2 linked regions of the Xenopus tropicalis genome follow. The protein of the gene in region 1 binds, or shares a complex with, the protein of each later gene. Links are inferred from orthologs where the notes say so. Each region holds a gene or a part of one and is shown in the gene's direction. Other genes may lie near its edges.

Region 1 (7,399 bases):
GAAGATGGGGAGCTACTGGGGCATCTTTGGGGGCACAGATCTTCCCTGGTAAAGGGCTGTGATTTCCTCTGAACCTCAAAACTTAGAACCCCTTAGTTCTTCTATAAACTTTAATCAGTCTATCTAAAAAATGGCATCTTCAGGTTTTTGCTGTTGTGGCCCATTACCAAGGTTTGGTTTTACCTAGCCCTCTGACATGGTAGCAGCCTTGCTACATTCAATGGAAACAATGGATGTCCTACTAATAGCACATTGCCATAATGCTGTCCTTTGAACTAAAAGCCTGCCTGCATTGATGATGCTTATATATACAGATATAGATATACAGTATTGTAAGATATTTTTCTCTTTGCTCTACTCATAGGCCTCCCCTTCTGTGTTGATATTTTTAATGTGTGTGCTGGGAGCTGGGACAGTGGTCGAGCTGGGTTACATTTCCCATCCCTCCATCCTGTCGCCTGGTCACATGACAGATATTGGAATGGTAGGAAATGGGAGGGTAGGTACCTAGGAGTTTGAGCTATATCATTTTCGCCAGTCGTTAAAAGTATAGAAATACAGGCAGATTCAAGAGATGCTTTACACATTCCACAGAAAAATTCTCTTATATAGCTGTGTCCTCAATAAAGGTTATATGTGTATAGGTGTCAGCTGTATATTTCCCAGAATTCCCAGCCCCGTCAAGTAAGGGCTAAAGTACACAGAGGCCCAATAAATAGTGACTGTCTATGGCAACTTATTGCAGCCCCTCTGGCATTTGCCAGAAACCACAGATTGCCAGTCCGGGCCTGTAAATAAGAATATTCTTTAATGGGGCTTTGGAATATTTGTGAGCCTTAGTCATTTCTGAGTTTTGGCATGGAACTAACATGCATATTAGGGGTCCCGTCAGTTGCTGGATAGGAAATCAGGTTTCAGCTGAAATGTCTTTTGTCAGCTGTTCAGCCATAAACACAGAGATTTGTTCATAGTGTTTGGTAAGTTCTTTACCACCCGTGTGCTACCAGACACTACCAGGTGTAGCAACAGGAACATTCCAAAGGGCTGACAATATAAAAGAGTTCAGTAGTTCTAAGGAACATTCTGGAACAAATGGCTGATGGGATAGATGTTTGCATAGCATGGTTATACAACAAAGACTGTCTAAACAGTCCCCTGCAGCCCGGGCTACGAATGCTGTTGCAGCTAAATAACAAAATCCTTCTGTAGAATGGAAATAAGCGCATCCCTGTGGAATAGAATAGGTTTTTTTTATTCAACTTCAAAGAAATCAGATGCAGTTGATGTAATGCAGAAGTATAATAATACAAAACACGGCTGCTCATTCATACTCACATCTACGGTCTGTTATAGTGCTGGAATTCAGCAATACCTGCACTGGTTTCTAATATAGAAATATATAGATTGGGGGGCTAAAGCTGACATAACATGGGCTTGTCACTTCATACAATGGGGTCATTAATAAACATAACAGTGTGATCATCAAATTCTATTGCAATTGTAAAAATGTTTATTGGACAAAAGGGGAAACTGGGAAATCTGATGACCCTATTGGTACATGTATTTGGTCATTGATTATTGGATTACAGGGCAGCAATTCCATTAAGCAATTACACCAAGTGACCCAAGAGATCAGTAATCTAATATTTAGGGAGAGCAACTAAACAACTAAATCTGTGTAATACCGTATGATAAAAAGCTATAAACTATAAATAAAACATGTTTCACCTTTACTTAAAATTTTAGTATGATGTAGATGTTGATATTCTGAAACAATTTGCTATTGGTCCTCATTTTTTGTGGTTTTTCAGTTATTTAGCTTTTAGTTAGGCAGCTCTCCCAGTTTGGTATTTCAACAGCTATCTGGTTGCTAGGGTCTTATTTACCCTAGCATCCAGGCTGTGATTTGAATAAGAGACTGGAATATGAATAGGCAAAGGACTACTTAGGTTCTCGGGTATCCACAACCTTTTTTACTCAAAAGCCACACGCAGATGTAAAGTGTTGGAGAGCTACAAAAGCATGAAAAACGTTCCTTTAGGGTTCTAAATAAGGGCTGTGATTGGCTATTTGGTAGCCCTATGTGGGCTGCTGGCCTGCTGGCCTGCAGGGGGCTCTGCTTGGAGTAAAACTGTGTCTATGAAATTCCAAATCTTTCCTCCAAATCAGAGATTTAAAAATGGGCACCTGCTTTGATGCCACTGGGAGCAACATTAAAAGGGGTGGTGAGCAACATGTTGCACATAAGCCATGGGTTGTGGAGCACTGAAATAGGGAGATAAGAAATAAAAAGTAACAATAACAATAAAATTGTAGCCTCACAGAGGAATAGTTTTTGGCTGCTGGGGTCGGTGACCCCCATTTGAAAGCAAAAAAGAAAGGTAAATAACTTAAGAAAACTATAAAAAAAAAAAAAAAAAGAATAATGAAGACCAATGGCAAAGTTGCTAGGAATAGGACATTATATAACATACATAAAGTTAACTTAAAGTTGAACCACCCCTTTAAACTAGATTTCTGATTGGTGATGTTCTGTTCACCACATGCTGGCACCAATGGCATCTAGATAAGAACTTACAGTCTCTTGCGCTATAAAAGACATGAGGGTTGATTCACTAAAGGTCGATATTTCGAGTGCTATTTATAGCATGCGGTAAAAATTTTATTGCGTCTAATTTTTCGCGTCTTAATGCACGATTCACTAAAAGTATATTTGCGTTAATTTATACACGATGCTGTTTGCGTTATTTAAGTCGCGAAGACTATTTTCGTGCGGTATTCGACGCAACGCATGCTAATTAACGTACGTGCGCTAGTTATGGCGCGCACGCCATATTAGCCGTATACACCATTATGTTAGGAAAACTACTTTTTTTTTAAAAATTAACATTTCCCTGCAAAATGGAGGCTGCGTCACTCTAGGGCCAACACAGACTTGAATAAATCCCACTGCAAAGTCCATATTGTTTTGCCAAAAGCTCATTAACTGTACTTTTCTATAATTACCGCCTGCCCCAAGTAGGTGTTAATTTTCACATAAAGTAATGCGATATTTAAGTGTTTGTGAATCATGCGTTAGTGTTATTTCTGCGCACTAATTAACGCAATGCGGTAAAATTAACGCATGCAATATGCAACTTAACGCATGCGTCAATTTTAACGCAAAAAAAGCATGCGATATGCGTTATCGCACTTTAGTGAATCAACCCTATGGTGAGGATATGCAATATTTATTGAGCAGTAGCACACATTGCACATGTCAGGTCCTGACCATTTGAAAATAATATGAGGTTGTGGATCAGTGCAATGTGGCCTTTCATGTTGTCTAATTGCACGAAATGCACGAATTTCCATGCTATTGAGCTTTCATTACAGATTTTGAAGGACAATGGCACAAAAATGTTAAAGTTGTGTGTTATTTCTCATGTATTGTGCATATACAATGGAGGAAATGTAGCCTTTTATAGTGCAAATAATTTGTCACATTTTAGTCCATTATTTTTCACCTTCAGTCCGTGATTGACTCCAGCTCCCTTTCTTACAGGTCTACATCTTCAGACACAACTAGCCGCAACAATGAGACTGTGGAACTGCGTCAACCCACAAAGAACAAAAATAACCGCCACAAGCGCCTGTCCAACCTTTTCCACCGCAGCACCAATAGCATTGCTGGCAGCATCAGTAGCGGGACGGGACGCTGGGTCAGTGAAAAGAAATTGTCGGAAATTATCGACACAGTACCAGAGGACTTGGTGGAGCTGTCCAGTCAAAAAAACTTACCTGGTATCCTGAAAATATTTGGAGATGATATTTCTTCTGGGACTAACTATAAGAGTGTTTTGGCTACGCCACGTTCCTCTGCAGAGGAACTAGTGAAAGAGGCCCTAGAGAGATATGCAGTGGCCGATTCCGAAACAGAAGTCTTTGTCCTGTGCGATGTGGTGGGGCGCTTTGTGGGGCTTGAAGGGGAATGGAAGATGGAGTACCTGCGCGTTGTTGGGGACAATGAACGTCCTCTAGTATTGCAAGAAATGTGGAAGCCCAAAACTGGGTTCTCTCGGCGCTTTGAAATCAGGCGCAAGCAAGAGGTGGAGAAGATGACCATGGCTGAGGATAATGAAACGGCAGGTTGGTTGGGCTTTTATTAACAAAATATAAATAAATAAAATAAAATCACTGTACCTACAGATGCATCTAGCTACTACATTTCAGTGTAGGATTTATTATTCAGTGAAATGAGAGAGTTGGGTGGGGCTGAATGCTTTCACAAGGCACAGTGTAGATATATTTTAGAAATGGTTTAATGTGGCAGTTGTAATGCATTTGATTCAGGTTTATTTCCTAACCTAAACGCTGAAACACTACAAGCGACAAAGCTATTAATACTTTCTTGCAACAGCAATAACTTATGAATGAGTCATCTCAAAGAAACCTCAGATCCACCCCTTCACGCCAGGACAGCTGTAAGGTTGGAATAGGTAATACTTATCCTTTAAAAGAAAATGCTAGAAAGTGATTGAGATTACATGCCTTTCTTTTTCCTACGTTATTATTGCACAAAACTGAGCCAAAGTTATATTTAGGGAATGAAGATTTATTAAATGTTTGGGTTCATTGCACATTCATCCGAATGCTTGTGTTACTGCTTGCATTACAGCGCATTTGTCTGGGTTTACCCTTCACTATTTCCAGCTTGGTGGCAGGCATAAAAAAAACCTGCAAATGACCTGTACTCTGCTCATGTTTAGGAGCAATAATCACCTGCTCCATGGGGGCAGCAGCAGGATCATGATCAATGGAAGAGAAATTTTGCCACCAATAGAATTGGAAATCACACCATTGCCCTTAATCTCTATTAAACACACTATGCCATGTAGACCATTGTTTAGACAACATGATAGCTGAGCTGATCACTCATTTGCAACGGGCAAAGGAGGAGAAGAGGAGAAAAAGAGGAGAAAAAGAGGCTGGGGATGGGGAATACCATACTACAGACCCTGGAAGCCCAGGCCCCACTGCAGCCTCAGGGTCTGCTGCATGGGACTTCAACAGAATCCAACTTGGATTTCCGTTATTAATGGCAATGGCAGAAGCCTTCATTAGCACTTAAATCTCATTCTAAGTTTCAATTATTCAAAGTTTCAGGGCCATAAATCATATTTGAATTTGCACTTGTTTATGTTATATAGCCATTGAATTACAATGAATGCCTCTTTAATTAATAGTAAAGTTTTTGTTTCTAAAAGGTGTTAGAGTTAGTGTTTATGACACTGTAATGGACAATTTGCTGGGGGTTGCCAATATGTGATGTTCTCATCAGTGAATTAAACTTTTTCCCCTGGGTGGTTACTCCTTTTAGGATAAAAATGCACTGGCCTGGGCTACTGTGTAACAACGCACCACCCTTGTTCTCATCCACTATCAGTCCTTAGTTACAGAGTATCATCTAAAATGATAACTCTCTCTAATAAACACCCTGTAATAACTTTTTTTAACTTTCCACTGGGAAAATTATTTGAGATTATGCTAAGCCTAAACCACATTGGGAAACCACCCAATGGAAACCCTTAAAGAACAAGGAAAGCCAAATTCACTGAGGGGTGTTAATGTTAGACACTCCCCAATGAGCCCAGTCACTAAGCATTTGGTTAGTTAATTCCCACACCACATATTGGGCCACATTATATTAAAATATTGATGTTGCACAAAGAATAATCTGAGCATTTCAACTTGGCCATTAAAATTGCTTGAAGGGCCATGTCTGGGCCAGGGAACACAAGGCATGCTACATTATTAGCTCTAAAGCAGAGAAAAGGTGCCTGTTATAAGGACGCCCCCATACTATGTCATTTCTATATCATCCAGTCGGTAAAGCATGGGTCAAGATCACAGTCAGCAGGGTGTGATGGGAGTTAAGGCGCCCACAGTTTATTCCTTGTTAAAAGCTATTAGTCCTAAAGTCTACTTGGCTATTTCCTAGTTGGTATTTGATTTGTATCCTATTCTTGACCATTAGCTGTTATTGTGAAGGCAGACCCAAATCAGTTCAGTGGATCTTAGAATGTGTGTAACACCCCACCTATTGAGTGATGTCATAGCTTTTGCGCAGAATGGCATGGCATTTTTTAGCCCATACGTCATGCTGTGAGCAGTTCCTTTCCAGGAAAAGAACAGTTGCCTTACACTAAAAAGGAAATGATTCCAGCATGAGGTATGGTCCAGAAGGAGTTCCGTAATCTCTCAGCACAATTGTGTTTAGATTGAAGGCTCCACACCTTGATTTGGACCAGATTAACCATTCAGCAAGGTCTCTTCTCCCACTTTTTTTTTTAGATATTCTAATATTGCGTAGATCTAGCCATGTTTTTCACCTCTTTTGAAGATGAAACATTAAAGAGATACTGACACTAGAAATGAAAATTTTTTACATCTTTCATAACATTGTCTTTGCATGCTATTTATAGTTTTGCCATAAAAGTATTTCCCCAATGCGTTTCCATTACTTATCTGATCCCCCGTGTTCCTTTATGAGGGGGCGGCCATATTTGTGCTGCAGGAGGCTGTTAGCATTAGAAGCTATAACTGACAGGCTGAGAAGGGACAGTCAGGTTGGCAAAATAGTCAGGTTTAGGAACTTCACGTAACAATTACTTACCAAAGCAGCCCTATCAGCAAAAAATTATCAACATGACCTATAGGGAACTTTTTATGTAGATTCATAATTTAAAAAGTAGTTTTTTCATGTCAGTGTCCCTTTAAGACATTTATTGGAGCATTAGAGCCTTGTTTCTCACTCACTCTTACTCAACCCCTATATTCATCCTCTGCTGCACTCTTTGGCATATCACTACCCCAGATCCACACTCAGTGGGGTAAACTCATATCTCAGCCTTATAAATAACTTTTCAGCAATGTCCCATCTTACATGAAAACTTCATATCTCTAAATACTTTGCTAATCATCTTCTTTATTACTCTAATGACACTTTTCTTCTGCTTTGAAACCTCCCTACAAACATGCCTATCTAATGCATGGATAAAGTACACATATAACGTTGTATCACCTCCCCCCGTACCCAGAAGGCAGCCTTTCCTGTGCCTCTTGATGCTAATTTCAGCTCTTATTGTTGGAGAGGAGAATAGCTGGCAAACGTTCATGCAGAGATTGTCCATTGAGGAAATTGCTCATGAAATTACTCAGCAAAACTGCGAGTGAGATTTCTGAGAAATACTAGGGTAATTCCTCATATATGTGGGACCAGTTTGTTGTAGAAAGTTAGATCAACTAATAATTATTGCGATTTGGCATTGCGTTTTTTTTAATAGCAATACAGTGAAGTCCTATATCCTGTAAGGTAAGAGTGGATAACTATAATACAGAAGAGCCTTGAATATCTTGT
Region 2 (8,051 bases), on another chromosome or scaffold:
CAGAGACAGCTCTATAAGGGAGTAACTAAAACGCTCAATTTTAGACGTGCAGACTTTGCCAGTATAAGGGCATCTCTGCAATGTGTCAACTGGTAAAGGCTTTTCATGGGGTTAGACACAGAAGGAAAATGGAACATCTTTAAAACATTGTTTTGCAGGTATACGCAACAGTATATCCCCCTTGTAAGCAAGGAGAGGCATCGCAAAGCAAAACCTTTATGGCTGAATAAAAGTGTTAGTGTCGAGGTTGGTAAGAAAAAACGTGCTTTTAGGGCATTCAAGTTAGCTGGGACAGCGGAAACTTTCATCAGGTACAAGGAAGCAAATAAAGCATGCAAAAAAGCTATCAAGCAAGCTAAAATAGAAATGGAAAGGGATATTGCAGCTAGGAGTAAAAAGAATCCAAAATTATTTTTTAATTATGTGAATAGTAAAAAAAATTAAGCAAGAAGGGGTGGGAACCTTATTATCACGGGGGGGGGGGGGTAAGTTGGTTGATGAGAACGGGGAAAAAGCTGAAATTTTGAACTCTTTATTTTTCATCTGTCTATACATCTGAGGAGCCAGATAATGAAAGCTTCCCTTTTAATATGCCCAGTTCTAGTAATTTAGCTACTGACGCATGGGTCACTCGGGAGGAAATTCAAAAGAGACTTGAACATGTAAAGGTAAACAAAGGTCCAGGGCCAGATGGGATTCATCCCAGGGTATTAAATGAGCTGAGCGCTGTGATTGCCAAACCTCTTCACTTAATTTTTCAGGATTCATTGAGGTCTGGCATGGTGCCGAGAGATTGGCGGATTGCTAATGTGGTGCCGTTATTTAAAAAGGGATCCCGTTCTCAGCCTGAAAACTATAGGCCTGTTAGTCTGACATCAGTAGTAGGAAAAATTTTGGAAGAGGTAATAAGGGATAGGATAGTTGAATACATTGCAGTTCACAATACTATTAGTTTGTGCCAGCATGGTTTTATGCGTAACAGATCTTGCCAGACTAATTTAGTCGCCTTTTATGAGGAGGTGAGTAGGAACCTCGATGCTGGAATGGCAGTTGATGTCATCTACTTGGACTTTGCTAAAGCGTTTGATACAGTACCTCACAGAAGGTTAATGATCAAATTAAGGAATATTGGCCTAGAACATAATATTTGTAATTGGATAGAGAACTGGCTGAAGGATAGATTACAAAGAGTGGTTGTAAATGGAACATTTTCTAATTGGACCAGTGTGGTTAGTGGAGTACCGCAGGGGTCAGTCCTTGGTCCTTTGCTTTTTAACTTGTTTATTAATGACCTGGAGGAGGGCATAGAGAGTACTGTTTCTATTTTTGCTGATGACACAAAATTGTGCAAAACTATAAGTTCCATGCAGGATGCTGCCGCTTTGCAGAGCAATTTGACAAAATTAGAAAACTGGGCAGCAAACTGGAAAATGAGGTTCAATGTTAATAAGTGCAAAGTTATGCATTTTGGTAGGAATAATATAAACGCAAACTATCTACTGAATGGTAGTGTGTTGGGGGTTTCCTTAATGGAGAAGGATCTAGGGGTTTTTGTTGATAACAAGTTGTCTAATTCCAGGCAGTGTAATTCTGTGGCTACTAAAGCAAATAAAGTGCTGTCTTAAAAAAGGGCATTGACTCAAGGGATAAGAACATAATTTTGCCCCTTTATAGGTCCCTGGTAAGGCCTCACCTTGAGTATGCAGTGCAGTTTTGGGCTCCAGTCCTTAAGAAGGATATTAATGAGCTGGAGAGAGTGCAGAGACGTGCAACTAAACTGGTAAAGGGGATGGAAGATTTAAACTATGAGGTGAGACTGTCGAGGTTGAGGTTGTTTTCTCTGGAAAAGAGGCGCTTGCAAGGGGACATGATTACTCTGTACAAGTACATTAGAGGGGATTATAGGCAGATGGGGGGTGTTCTTTTTTCCCATAAAAACAATCAACGCACCAGAGGTCACCCCTTTAGATTAGAGGAACGGAGCTTCCATTTGAAGCAGTGTAGGTGGTTTTTCACGGTGAGGGCAGTGAGGTTGTGGAATGCCCTTCCTAGTGATGTGGTAATGGCAGATTCTGTTAATGCCTTTAAGAGGGGCCTGGATGAGTTCTTGAACAATCAGAATATCCAAGGCTATTGTGATACTAATATCTACAGTTAGTACTAGTGGTTGTATATATAGTTTATGTATGTGAGTGTATAGATTGGTAGGTGTGGGTTGTGTGTGCTGGGTTTACTTGGATGGGTTGAACTTGATGGACACTGGTCTTTTTTCAACCCTATGTAACTATGTAACTAAATAAATGCAACAAATATAGACACATTGTATACAATATGCTATAGATCTGCCACTGGCACCAGAGGATCACATCAGCGAATGTTGGTGGCCCATCCTGAAGGAAAGAATTTAAGGATTTAACATAAACGAATGTAAAGTATATATCATGAACATATTTCATAGTTAATAAAAACAAAAAAACATAATATTAACAGGCACTCACACATGCATAAAAAATTTCCGCAATTTTTTTTTTTACCTTAAAGGAAACATATCCTATAAAAATGATGAATGTACCAGTAAATTATACTGCTCTAGATATAGAAGGAATGTGCTGAAAAAAGTTGTGTTTCAGACTGATTTATTGAGAAATTCCACCAAAACCCCACTAGTCCCGTCCATCCGCTCCACTTCCTGCTGGCTGAATTCTCTGGATAAGCTGGCGGATCTCAGTACACTACAGAGGATAGGAACCAATCAGCAGCTAGGCTGACCTGATAGGGAACTGAAGCCTGTCTGTGCTTGTGTGACTGCAGGGCTGTGATTGGCTATGCCCCCTCCTACTGTGCTTCTGGCAGGGACCGTTAGGAGAAGGGATAGGATCTATAGGGAGCTCCAATAAAGGGGCCATTATTACAGATAGGATTAATGTTTAGCCCAAAGGGAAACCAGCACCATATATTATTCATAATTGCCTACAAAATTAGGGTTTTTCCCATATATCCAATATGTCTCCTTTAAATTTAGGTAACGCCTGAGTTACACAGGTATGGTTCCAACTGTTCTTCCTTTTGTTACCCTATATCCCATCTGGTTAGGGACAGTGGTGTAATTTGATGTTACTGGGCCCCAGCACAGTGGTAATAAGACATTTCTAATAACCAGCTCATCGGTAAGTGCCCCAGCAATTGTACATTCGGCTTCCACTGTAATTACACCCCCGGTCATGCTATACAGGCGCTCACAGCAGCTTCACACAAACATAATCCCGATAGTAGCTCGTTTATACAGAGTGGGTGTGGCATATCATACCCCTATACAGCCGATCGTGTCGCATTGATAAACAACCAGCAAAGCGTCCCTGCGTATTACTTGTAATTTAAGTCTACAATTATATCTGAAAACCATGTGTCTAATTTTCATATATTTATCGTACCTATAGAAATATAATCTAGTGTTTAGAAGCAGAACATGTTCCCCTTATTAACAGAGCACAAATCAGCTTCTAAATGTAACTGTTTATAGCCTTCGTTGGAGCCCATCAATCCTTTGGCCACAACAGGTTGCACAGCGGCCACATCGGGCAGCCAAAGGTTTGTCGGTGGGACTCGGGTAAGAGAAGCCATGATGCGCGTGCCCGTGCCAGGGAAGGGCCAGGTCAGCGCTTAGCTGGAAGGCGCCGGGAGCGCGTACGGCGGAGAGCGAGAGCGGCGCAGTGACGTCACGGGCGAGCTGGGAGCCTCACCCAGGCTGGGTTGGTGGCGCTGTGTGTCCCGAGCAGAGGAGGACAAGCGGGCGGCAGGGGATCCCAGGCAGAGCCGGGGCCCATCCAGGAGAAGGAGGACAGCGGGTCAGTGATACTGGGAAATTAACTTAGGCACTAGGGCTTGTGTAAACGAAAGGCTGGGCGAGGGTTGGATGACCGGCCGGAAGAGGGGCAAGGAGTCAGGGCCCGGCCCAAGCAGCAGTTCTACCGAGGCCGGCTGGGTGCTAGATATTCCCGGATAATGGCGGAAAATTCTCATTGGCTAGTCGAGGGCAGTGTAGAGTAGGCACTGTGATGCGGACTTGCCGCTTGGTGGACCTTGGGCGTGCAGGCGGACTTGTGGCAGTGTCCAGAATGCACATGGAAGTGATAATAGCTTGTCACAGCACCCATATCCGCAAGTTAAATACCGATCCTAATGTGATAAACTACAACTCCCAGCATACTCTCAGTGGAACGGGGTTGGCGTTCAGAAATAGCCGCAGGCAGACAGATCTTGGTTTAGTGTGTCACAGTGATTGCTCCTTGATCAACATGCCTTCTTGGAAATATTATAAAATGCCTTTTATGGCAGAAAACTGGGATTCCTATTATGTCCTACCAATTTACAGCATATTACCATGAATGTATACCTTGAATGTGTTCATTTAGTGAAGAACAGGGGTGGAGGTTTGCAGGCTGTTTGCCAAACTTTGCTTTGTCCACTGTATGAGTTACAGCTAGCGCTGACAATGGGGCTTCATGTGCCTTTACCGTTGGATGTTGGTTATGGGTGACCCTAATAAGGGACTGGCTAATCTAATAGCTGTGCCACATCTTAACATCCTGTTTAGATCCCACACATAAGTGTGTGTGTTCTTTTGGGTGTGGGGGGTGGCAGGGTGGTGACAAAGATTTTTTTTTTTTACCTCATCCATCAGTAGATATGACAGTTGTGTTCAGCTATTGAACATACTGCCCACACTAAACTGCAACTAACATTCTTGAACAGCAGAAGAATTTTTGGTTCTTGTAGTTTAACCAGAGATGTAGGTTACGTGTTGAACATTCCTAATAAATGCACACTTGAAATGTTATTACTTTTTGTTAATAGCCTTAAGTTAATACTGTGTTTAAGCTAAACTCTTTATGAATGTGGTGAACAGGATTAAGCCCCCACCTAAATCTTTCGTAAGGAAAGATAGCAGTAGTCACATCAGAACAGCCCTTTTGTGGTCTGTATGGGGAAGGAAAAATGCTGTTTTCTGTTCCTATAAACTGGCCACTAAGCGAGTTGAGTAATATCTCTTGTATAGAGAGTGATCCATTTGTAAATCACCCCACAGATGAAACTAACAAAATGGGCCTTGGGGTGTGGCTTTGTATTGCTGTTGCAAGGAAAGGGTTAAGTTGACTGGTTAGCTCAATAGGGCAGGCTTGCAAAGTGTTGGGCAGCTAGTTATATCAGGAAGTAGTATCTCACTTGTCATGTTTATGTCCACATATTATTTTAAACTGTTTAGTTATATCCCTTATTAATGCTGATATAAATGAGACACTGCATTACACCATTTCCAAAGCTTAAAAGGGTGGTTCACCTTTAAGTTAACTTTAAGTATGTTATAGAAAGCCAATTCTAAGCAACTTTTCAATCAGTCTACATTATTTATTTGTTATTGTTTTTTAATTATTTGCCGCCTTCTAACTCTTTGCAGCTTTTGAATGGGGGTCACTGATCCTGGTGGGCAAAAAACTATTACTTTGTGAGGCTGCAGTTAATTGTAATTGTTAATTTATATTACATATCTTTCAATTCAGGTCCTCTCCTATAAATATATCAGTCTCTCATTCAAACCACTTCCTGGTTGCTAAGGTAATTTGGACCCTAGCAACCAGCTGTTGAAACTCCAAACTGGAGAACTGCTGAATGAAAAATTGAAATAATTAAAAAACTAAATAATAAAAAATGAAGACCAAATGCAAATTGTCTCAGAATATTACTCTCTACACAATACAAAAAGTTACCTAAAAGGTAAACAACCCCTTTAAGTAAAGCAACATATGCAGAAAAAACAGCATGTGGAAGTGTGAAAGCAAGTAAAGTCAAAACTTGTGAAAGGGAATGTAATAAGATGGCTTTATTGATTTAGCTCTCTTGCCTGAGAAGTAAAGAGAGAACATCAGATTAGCATTATGGTTGCTTCCTGTTGTGCACTACCGGTTCATGAAGCCTTCAAGTTGTGATGTGAGTTACCAACCGATAAAGCATTTCTGTAATTGTTGCCACAATTTAATGTTTGTGCCTATTTTATCTAGTGACAACTGCTATTAAAATCATTTAAAGTGACAATTACCTTAAAAAAAAAAAAAAAAAACACCTTCAGAACTCCACGTTACTGCTCATCATCCCAAGCTGTTTCTAGCCAGGGAGAACCACAGATAAATGGAAAGAGCTCATTGACTTTTTTTGTGCGATACCACCCTACAACATTTATTAAAGAGCAGAAAACAAAAGCACTCTTTGCTCTTCAATAAATGTTGTAGGGTGGTTTCCTACAAAAATAAACCCATGTGTCCTTTCACTTTAATCATGGAGCTTTATATAAAGACATTGAGGCATTACTGTTCATGCGCATTTTAAAAATGTCAGTATGGAATAATTTCCTTTGGGTAATAGTCATTTTTTGTGTTGTTTGATTGCTAGGCAGTAGTATATGGTGGAGGTCCCAAACTTGTGTACCACATTCAGATGTAAAAAGAGCCAGGGAGCAACACAAGCATGAAAATGTTCTGGGGGTTGCCAAATAAGGTCTGTGATTGCCTATTTGGTAACCCCTGTGTAGACTGTCATCCTACAGGAGGGTTTGTTTGGCATTACACATGGCTTTGAGGCCACTGGGAGTAACATTCATAGGGTTGGTGAGCAACATGTTGCTTGCAAGCCATTGGTTGAGGATTACTGCCATATGATACCTGGTAATGTGGCAATAATTAACAACTTAGTGTGTTAGAATGTTAGTTATGTAAAATACACAGCTTTATTTATTTTTTTTTATAACATTTTTGACATACTGCCTTTGCACTGCCCTAATTTTATAGGAAGTAGCTATAACCTACCAATAGTGACTGCTAACCTGGATGAAATCGTTCTTTGGAAGTCTTTCTGTGTTTTAGTCTTTTGATACAGCCATTTCATTCTATGCTGATTATATCTATTTTGACATTTGTCAAAGGATGTTGAGGATTATCTCAAACACTAGTGATTTAGAGAAATGTTGAGAGAGATTAGAGAAGTGTTGTTTTTTTCAGCAATGTTTAAAACATGCTTTATGACAAACTTCAGTAAGGTGTAGTAAGCTGTAAATTTCACTTCAACCACTTGGATTATTTCCATTAGTCTTAAAGAAAAAATATTGTATATATCTATATATGGGTCTATTTTCTTGCTAAATTATGTAGATTACTCCAGTCATTTAGCCTTTCTTTGATGTAATTTGCTGGAGGTCAGTGTTTTTATGATATCTGTGAAATGGATTCAGTGGTTGCTCCAAAGATAAATGGCATTGGAGGCCCTGCATTAATCAAAAAAGTATAAGGAAGACACTCAGTGCTCAGTAACTTAGGTGTTAGTGTTATTAGCAAGTATTCCAGATATTCCACTGTATGGACCAGGCTTCATAGCAATGATCAGTACATTAGACATTGACTTTAGGCATACTGTCGGCCATCCTTGTCACTCTTTATGTGCACCAAAACACAAATGAACCGATTTTTAATTTTATCTTATTGTATACACTTACATCCAGATCTGTATTTTAGCACAGCTATTACACTGTTTTTGTTTTAAAGGAGAAAAGGCTTAGTCACTTGGGGGTGCCAAAATGTTATGCACCCCCAATTGACTTAAATCGCTTACCTTTTTCCCGGGGCTGGTGCCCCTGTTAGGAGAGAACAGCACCAGCCCGGGGGACCTGCGAGCGTTTCCTTCTTCCTGTTTCTCGCGCTTGGGCATGCGCAGTAGAGTGAAAAGCCAAACTTTAACAAGAAAGTCGGCTTTTCACTCTTAATACGCATGCGCCGGCAGAAGAAAGAGGAAGAAGGAAACGCTCGATCAAGGTACCCACGGGCTGGTGCTGTTTTCTCCTAACAGGGGCACCAGCACAGGGTACAAGGTAAGCGATTAAAGTCACTTGGGGTGCCTAACATTTTGGCATCCCCAAGTGACTTAGCCTTTCCTTCTCCTTTAAATGCAACATGCTTTTATGTGTTCAGTGCTTGTTCATAGTGCAACAAAACAGTGCAATGCTTTAC

Evidence for each region.
Region 2: the proteins of rasip1 (region 1) and rap1b are in contact, whole or in part, in a crystal structure (PDB 5KHO), measured with the Homo sapiens proteins. The link is inferred for Xenopus tropicalis from reciprocal best matches to the Homo sapiens genes RASIP1 and RAP1B. Residues at the interface, in NP_060275.2 of Homo sapiens: Val147, Lys149, Ala156, Ser157, Gly158, Ala159, Asn160, Tyr161, Lys162, Ser163, Val164, Leu165, Glu181, Arg182; in NP_001010942.1 of Homo sapiens: Val24, Gln25, Asp33, Pro34, Thr35, Ile36, Glu37, Asp38, Ser39, Tyr40, Arg41, Glu54, Leu56, Phe64.

Annotation. Positions count from the first base shown.
Region 1 is NC_030683.2:105,702,526-105,709,924, reverse strand, and holds part of rasip1 (ras-interacting protein 1), read left to right. Parts: intron 1-364; exon of another isoform or gene 365-491; coding exon of another isoform or gene 492-499; intron 500-3,544; coding exon 3,545-4,128; intron 4,129-7,399. UniProt on the Homo sapiens protein: Required for the proper formation of vascular structures that develop via both vasculogenesis and angiogenesis.
Region 2 is NC_030679.2:58,772,960-58,781,010, forward strand, and holds the start of rap1b (ras-related protein Rap-1b precursor), read left to right. Parts: upstream 1-3,759; 5' UTR 3,760-3,845; intron 3,846-8,051. UniProt on the Homo sapiens protein: GTP-binding protein that possesses intrinsic GTPase activity. Contributes to the polarizing activity of KRIT1 and CDH5 in the establishment and maintenance of correct endothelial cell polarity and vascular lumen.